Linked DNA regions of Oryctolagus cuniculus. The protein of the gene in region 2 interacts with the protein of the main gene of each other region in a pairwise test. Links are inferred from orthologs where the notes say so. Each region holds a gene or a part of one and is shown on either strand. Other genes may lie near its edges.

The links. The genes of interacting proteins can lie anywhere in the genome.
Region 1: the proteins of TRIM41 (region 2) and protein FRA10AC1 interact in binary tests that used the Homo sapiens proteins (3 or more experiments, as listed by UniProt). The two-hybrid records come from large-scale screens. The link is inferred for Oryctolagus cuniculus from reciprocal best matches to the Homo sapiens genes TRIM41 and FRA10AC1.

Annotation. Positions count from the first base shown.
Region 1 is NC_091446.1:36,947,004-36,950,981, reverse strand, and holds the start of protein FRA10AC1, read right to left. Parts: upstream 2,801-3,978; 5' UTR 2,728-2,800; intron 1-2,727. UniProt on the Homo sapiens protein: May be involved in pre-mRNA splicing.
Region 2 is NC_091445.1:34,916,886-34,920,919, forward strand, and holds the start of TRIM41 (E3 ubiquitin-protein ligase TRIM41), read left to right. Parts: upstream 1-1,234; 5' UTR 1,235-1,950; coding exon 1,951-2,775; intron 2,776-4,034.

The DNA.
Region 1 (3,978 bases), on a different chromosome or scaffold from region 2:
CACTCAAGATGTTGTCTCAGGGGATCCGAGGCAGGCTGCTACTCTGTGTGATTTACCATGTGGGGGGAAAAAAGGAAAAACAACAGCATGCTTCTTTCTAGGTAATTCCTTGACACAGCAACTCTCAAGGGATGGTTTTCTGCTCTCATCTAATTTATAACTAGTCCCCTGACAAGGAGGGAAAGAAAATATTAATATAGGAAAGCGCCAAGGATTACACTTGGCTGTGTGTTTTGAGTTGGCCAAAAGGGAGCCACATAGTCCGTGTATGCCTGAAAATATTCAAAAAGATAATATTTGACTAAGAAATGCGATCTCTTCACAGGCATCATGGAACGCGGCTCATCTGTTCTGACGCGTAGGGTTTGGCAATCAGAGTTCAGTTCTCGGAGCCCTAGCGCATGGGGGTTGAAAGGTCTCTGTGCTCGGGTCATAGGCAACAGACTTGCTGTAGCTGAAGGGCTCCAGGGAGAATGGGCCAATTGGGGTCTACTGAGTTGGAGGTATCCTAACTGCATGATTTGGGACCCAAGATTTTGCTTGTTGGTTTGTTCCTTGCCTTCTTGGCCATTTTGGCTGTTTGAGGTTATATATACAAACAACATGGGACTGAAACTCAAGAGGTTTTCATTTAAATTTCACCCCACCACTTATTCAAACTTAGGCATATAGTCTGTGCAAATTACTAATCTTACTGAGCCTCAGTCTCCTTATCTGTAAAATGGGGATAATACATATCTTGCAGGGTTGTTACAGAGACAAATCAGATGTAGGTAGATAAAACATTTGACATATGGTATGGCAAATGCTGTAACATTTCATAAGTAGCAGAATTTTAAAAATTTACATAAAGGTTAAAACTACAAGTCACTCAATCTGTTGTTTTGTCTACATGAAATCCCAGAACTGGTTTGACTATTTCCCTGAATTCTCAAACTTGATCAGGTGTTTTGACATTATATAACCATGTTGGCTAATGTCCTTCCACCGGCTAATGTCTTCAAGTGATTAACAATTCATAGATGATTCCTTATTAATTACCACTGATAGCCAGTGGGGTGATTAAAGAAAGTGTTAACACATCAAACAAATCCAACAAAGATAGACTCTTTAATACAGACAGGGACAAAGTTTCTCTGCTGGGATCTTTCCACGGGGGAAAGAATTTGCTGAATCTGAGAAAGTGGCAAATTGTGCTTATGATGTTCGTTTGTTAAATAATAAATGGCTCATTTAAAAGGCATTCCTTTGATGTGCTCAGACACTCTCCTCCCCTAGGACAGAGAAACAGATCAGTCCTTAAAACTGGAGAAGTCACAGTCACACAACCACTCAGACGCTAGCTGGACGCTGGCTGTGACACAGAAAGTCTGGTCTGATCAACCAGATAGGTTACCACATCTCCACTCTGTTTGTTTGTGTTTTGGGTGGGCCCAGCCACAGCAAGCACAGATGCAGGGCAGTGTTATAGAAATAGTCACCGGCTGCTGCTGCAGAATGTGATTACACGCATTTAGAATCATGAGGGAAGCCAGGGGATTGGTTTTTAAATAGCCCGCACCGAGTGTGTGCCATGCCCGTGTCCCATGCCCTGAGTGCCTATGGAACATTCCAGCCCTTACTTCCAAAAGCAGTTCAGGTTTCAGAAATAACAAAAAGGCGAGTAATTCTTACCCTATACGACCTCAGTGAACTCACACTGGCTAACCTCGGTGGGTGCATTTGCACCAGGCTGATGTCATGCAGAATTGTCGGGGTCAAATTTGTCTGGGAGGCTCCAGGACCCTGCTCCTGAGGACTTTGCTCTGCATCCTTCCTGCCCAGGGTTCTCTGCCTCCTTCTCTGCGCTTACCTAATAAGCTCATTTTCACTGAGGAGGAGATAGATGGGAAGGCTCTGAATGTGAACTGTGCCATGATCGCAACAGTTGCATGGTCACATCGATTAGAAACAGGTAGGGTTCATGGCTGGCGCTATGGCTCACTAGGCTAATCCTCTGCCTGCGGCGCCGGCACACCGGGTTCTAGTCCCTGTTGGGGCACCGGATACTGTCCTGGTTGCTCCTCTTCCAGTCCAGCTCTCTGCTGTGGCCTGGGAAGGCAGTGGAGGATGGCCCAAGTGCTTGGCCTTGCACCTGCATGGGAGACTGGGAGGAATCACCTGGCTCCTGGCTTCGGATCGGCGCAGTGCGCCGGCCATAGTGGTCATTTGAGGGGTGAACCAACGGAAGGAAGACCTTTCTCTGTCTCTCTCTCACTAACTCAGCCTGTCCAAAAAAAAAAAAAAAAAAAAACCAGAAACAGGTAGGGTTCTGCCGTGCAGTGGGGCCAGCCAGTGCCCTGGAAACCCCACACAGGCGACCAGCCTCCCACTGGGACAGGAAGACTGAGGGGCCTGCTTTTGGCCACCAGCTGAGGCCTAAATAACACCAGCCATTACTTGGGGTGTGCAGCGAAGTCCGGCAGCATGTGTGACCCCTCACAGCCCAGGAAGAGACACCACTGAGAGCCAGTGGTGTTTGATTGGTGCACAGACAGTGGTTTCTTACTCTGCTATTGGGAACAGAAAGAGAAACATCCTGTTCCTATAACTTGCCTTCATCTGACGACTCTGCTACAGCCCCACAGCTCTTTCGGGCCTTCTGCAGAGGCATGATGGGAGGTACTTTGGGAAATGTCAGCCTGGGACAGTGAGGAAAACAGATGCAGTGCAAGGACTGGGAGTTACCTGGAGTGCTTGGGAAAAGATCCCGGGAGGCCGTGGCTGGCAGCTTGTGTTGGCAAATAAGAAAAACCAAAAGCCACACTCTGTAGGGAGGAGAGGGAAAATAAAACGATCCAATAAAAACTCATTGGATTAGTTGTACAGAATGTTTTTAAAGTCTCATTTAAGATTTCAAACAATAGGAAGAAAAAGCCTTTCCCAAGCAAGTTATTCATGTTTTCCGTAGGACCAGTTTTGAAACGTAACCAGTGAGAACAATTATGTGTTCTAGTTTGCTTTAGTGGCAGGGAGTGGTACTTAATGAATGCGATCTTAAGAGATGCGTTTGCACATGTGACAGCCCTAATTCCTTCTCCGCTGCAACTGGAAACCCCCAATGACACGGGCTCCTGGCAGAAGTAACTGACATTTCCAAGGAGAATAGTGGCCTCACTGCCATAGGTTTATAACGTATGTTAATGAACTCAACCTCTGCCACTCCTAGGACAGTTCCCCTTGCAAGGAGTGGATTCCAGGGTCCTTTTTCATAGTGTGAAAGCAGCAAAACCTACGACTATATATGAGAATTCAATATGACCTGAAATCAAGTTCTATTTACTCCAAGGAGATTTGGTCTTGTTTGAAGCACAGAACTGATCTTCCTGGGGAGCAAATAGCATATTAAAAAAATCCCCCATCAACATATAAGTGCATAGTTAATAAGAAATGAAAGACTATGGGGGCTGGTGTGGCACAGTGGCTTAATCTGCTGCCTATGACTCCAACATCCCCTATGAACATCAGTTCAAGTCCCAGTTGCTCTGCTTCTGATCCAGCTCCTGCTCATGTGCCCAGGAAGACAGCAGAGAGTGGCCCAGGTGCTTGTGTCCCTGCCACCCACATGGGTGTCCTGGATGGGGTTCCAGGCTCCTGGCTTTGCCTGACCCAGCCCCAGCTGTTGTGGCCCTTTGGGAAGTGAGCCAGCAGGTGGAAGATCTCTCTCTCTCTCCCTCTCTCTCTCTCTGTAAATCTCCCTTTCAAGTAAATAAATCTTTTAAAGAAAGAAAAAGTAAAAATAAATAGCATGAATGAGAGAAATAATAAGTCATCCTTACTAAGGCTTTATCATTTAGCCTTTTAAAAAATACTACTTTTTCAGAAAAAAATTCCACAGCCTATAATATTTCACAGTGATTACCACCTTTTCCTAGTCTTCCTTGCATTAGAAAAAAGAAAGAAAAATTTAACAGTTTTCACAGACCACTTAACCCAGAT
Region 2 (4,034 bases):
CAATACACCCAAGAAATTCTCTTGTAAAATTAATTCCACAAACCTAATCTGAGTCCCTGCTCTTAGTCTGCAACTCCATGAAGATGAACCTTGAGGCATCAGGGACAGGAGCATGAGTGGTTCACAGCTCAGAAATATCTGGTGAATCCAAAGCCCTTAGGAAAATAAAATTCCCATAAGATTGTAACCGATGCAAATAGAGAGGATTCTGAATGTTCCCAACACAAATGCTAATAAAAGTTTGAGGTGATGGATATGCTAAATAATCTGATCGTGGTATACATGCATTGAAATGCCACACCATACTCCAAATATATGTACATAAATGTGTAAATGACTAGTAAACCTACATATATTATATTAGGCAATGCTTAAAAAATTATAACCAACTCCCGCCCCAAGCAACCTTTGACGTTGATTTTACCGGCCCCAGTATCTTTCTTAGTTTTCAATTTCTCTGTAAAGTTTAATTCGAAAGGAGCAGTACGATTGTCCCTACATTTAAATAATTAGCAAGCATCTCAATGCTAGCATCTATTCTGAGCGCTCTTACAAGAACTCACCGGCAGAACTCCCGATTGCAGAACTTGAAATTGATTTATCACCTCTATTGCTAGCAATCTCATATTAGATAGTTTTTTAGAAACTTCAAGCCCTGATGAAAGAAACTAGTACAGTTTATTCTTAGAACTCTACAGACTGGAGCCTACCTTTTGCCACTCCAAAGGAATCTTACAGGCCATTATTACTGATCAAAAGAGACAAACATTGTACGCCTGAGGGCACTATGCATCTCCAATTTTGAACTGTAACTCACTCCCTTTACTCCAAAGCGTCTGGAAATTAAGCTATAGCTGACTGGCTCCTCTACTTTTTTGCACCATCTCGATGGCAGTGATTGGTTTACTACAAAGCCGATCCAGTAGTTTTGGAGGTTCTGTAGCAATTCCTGTAACCATTTCTGGGAGTTATTTTACAGCAAGATGGACTTGGTTCGAAATTCAAATACAGAAAGACAGTTATGTACTCCTGACTCCCAATTTTCTTAGTGAAATACTAGCAGTATTCTTTCACAACGATGATCACGACGACGATGGTATCACTAAGTAAGGTTCTAATCTCTTCATACAGCTTTAACTCTCACAAAACTATTAGGCGGCTCAAACTACAAAGTCCTGCGCCTAGAAGGGCCGGAAGTAGTTCAGCGCGTTCGCTAGGGCCCGCCCCTGCACTTCCGGCGGCTGTGGGCATTCCCTGTGGCGGTCGTCCGTGTCTGGCCGGTAGGATGGCGCTTGGCCGATGCGGGCATAGCACCGAGAGCAGACGGCCGCCCAACGCTCCAGCCGTACCCCGAAGTTTCTCCCTAGTGGCGGGGGATGGGGGTGGGTGGTTCTGTTGCGTCGGCTTTCCTGGCTCTTCCGCATCACAGAGACGTGGGCCTCCTCCTTCCTAGCCCTCCCGCCTTGTTCCCTTGTGTCGGCTAGAGCGTCCCCTCGCCGTTTCCTGTCGCACAGGGGCCCCGTTGAGGGAAGAGAGGCGTAGCACTACAGCGGAGGGAACTCGTGAGCTTGGGTGGTGCACACGCACCGGAAGAGTTGGGAGGAGGCCGGAAACCAGGGGGCGGGGCCAGGAAGGAGGAGGGGCGGGGGTTTATGAGGAGGCCAGGGGAGCGTTAAGGCAAATTTGCACTCAGGTCTACCTGAGGGACTTGGCGGTGGCGCTCAGCTGTTTCACCCCACCTGTGCCCCCGCTGAGACACGGTTGTCGTCAAGGAGCGGGGAACTCTGGGGAGGTGTGGGTTTTCGAGCGGACAGTTCTCTGGCTGCGCTTGGGACGAGGTGTGGAGAGGCAGGGCTGGGGGTGGGGCGGGGCCGACAGGGCATCTGAAAGGGAAAGACCCCCCCACACCTGCCCCCCCCCACCGCACATCTACACTGGCTGGACACTAAGATGGCTGCCGTTGCCATGACACCCAACCCAGTGCAGACCCTTCAAGAGGAGGCGGTGTGCGCTATCTGCCTCGATTACTTCACCGACCCCGTGTCCATCGGCTGCGGGCACAACTTCTGCCGAGTGTGTGTAACTCAGTTGTGGGGCGGGGAGGATGAGGAAGACAGGGAAGAGTTAGACCGGGAGGAGGAGGAGGAAGAGGAGGAAGAAGAGGATGGAGAGGAGGAAGAAGTGGAGGCTGTGGGGGCTGGTGGGGGGTGGGACACCCCCATGCAGGACGAAGACTATGAGGGTGAAATGGAGGAAGAGGTTGAGGAGGAAGAGGAGGGTGTGTTTTGGTCCAGTGGCATGGGTGGGTCCAGCTGGGACAACATGGATTATGTGTGGGAGGAGGAAGATGAGGAGGAAGACCTGGACTACTACTTGGGGGACATGGAGGAGGACCTCAGGGGAGAGGATGAGGAGGATGAGGAGGAAGTTTTGGAGGAGGATGAGGAAGAGGAGCTAGACACCGTCACCCCACTGCCCCCGCCTCCAGCCCCTCGGCGGTGCTTCACTTGCCCCCAGTGTCGAAAGAGCTTTCCTCGGCGGAGCTTCCGCCCAAACTTGCAGCTGGCCAACATGGTTCAGGTGATTCGGCAGATGCATCCAACCCCTGTTCGAGGGAGCCGTGTAAACGAGCAGGGCATCTGTCCTAAACACCAAGAAGCACTGAAGCTCTTCTGCGAGGTAGATGAAGAGGCCATCTGTGTGGTGTGCCGTGAATCTAGGAGCCACAAACAGCACAGCGTGGTGCCATTGGAGGAGGTGGTGCAGGAGTACAAGGTGAGAGAAGTAGAGAAGATGGGAGTTTATTGGGGGTGGAGAGACAGGAAAAGGAACTGGGAAAAGAAAATGTATCGTTGCCTCCAGAACTTCATGAGCTGGTGAGCTGATTTTCCCTATCTAAGCACTTATTTGTAGCAAGATGTTAGAATGGGAGGGATCCTGTACATAGAAAAAGTAAACACATTGATAAAGACTAGGGAATGTTGACTTCAGAGTGAATAGGGCAAAATCAGTGATGCCAGATCACTAAGCTTCCTCTCCTGAAGGAGGAGGTCACAGGTCTCCAGGGGTTTATCATCATTCTCATTTTTTTCTGTGTTAGTTTTAAGTCTGTCTTTAACTGCATCCCTTAGAAATGTAAAGAACTGGGAGTCTCACAGGAAAGGCTCTGAAACAAAAGCATAGACATGACTGCTAGTGTCAGACCCAAATGTCCTGCACTTGCCTCCTAAGGGATTCTCTGCCACCTCATGATATGGCTTGAGTCTCCCTTTGTGGTCTTTAGTTGGATCTGTTTCTGGTGTACTGACCAGAAAAGAGACTTTTCAGACAGAAAAACAAGCTCAACACATGCTCACTGTCTATTTTTGATAAAGTCTCTGAGTGTCTTTGGACTTTATAATTTCTCCAGCATTCATAGTTAATGTTTACTGGGTGCTTACTATGTCTGCCAGGCACTGTACTATGTGCTTTTCATGGACTGTCCTTTAAGACAAAAAACCCTGTGGGCTGGATAGGTTTTACATTACCATTTTATAGATCAGTAAACAAAGTCAGAGACATTTAAGCAGGGCCACATAACTTTAGTAATTAATGCACTTGGTAATGGCTGTCCCTCTACCTGGCATACAGCATCATTATCATTTGAATGTCTCTTGATAATTTGGTTTTTGTGACATGTACCCTTTTTTTCTTAGAGTCTTTTCTTTCTAGTTTGGTTAATATTTTTCTTTCTGATTCTGACTTTTCTTTAGACAGAAATAAAGGAAATTTGTGAGACAGATCAAATAGTAATATTAAGCAAAGGCCTAGGTGGGTTTGAAGCAGGGGGACCACAAGGAGGGAGGAGAGGGTAACCTCTGAATAGTCTGCACAGAGCGTTTTTGTAATACGACTTTTTGCTTTATGTTTTCACACGTGATTCCTACAGTAACTTCATTTCAATTTTAGAGTAGCTCTGAGTGGTGCAACCAGGACAAACCTATATCACCCTGTCACTAGTCAAACCTAATTGTCGAAAGTCCTAGGGGAAGTTT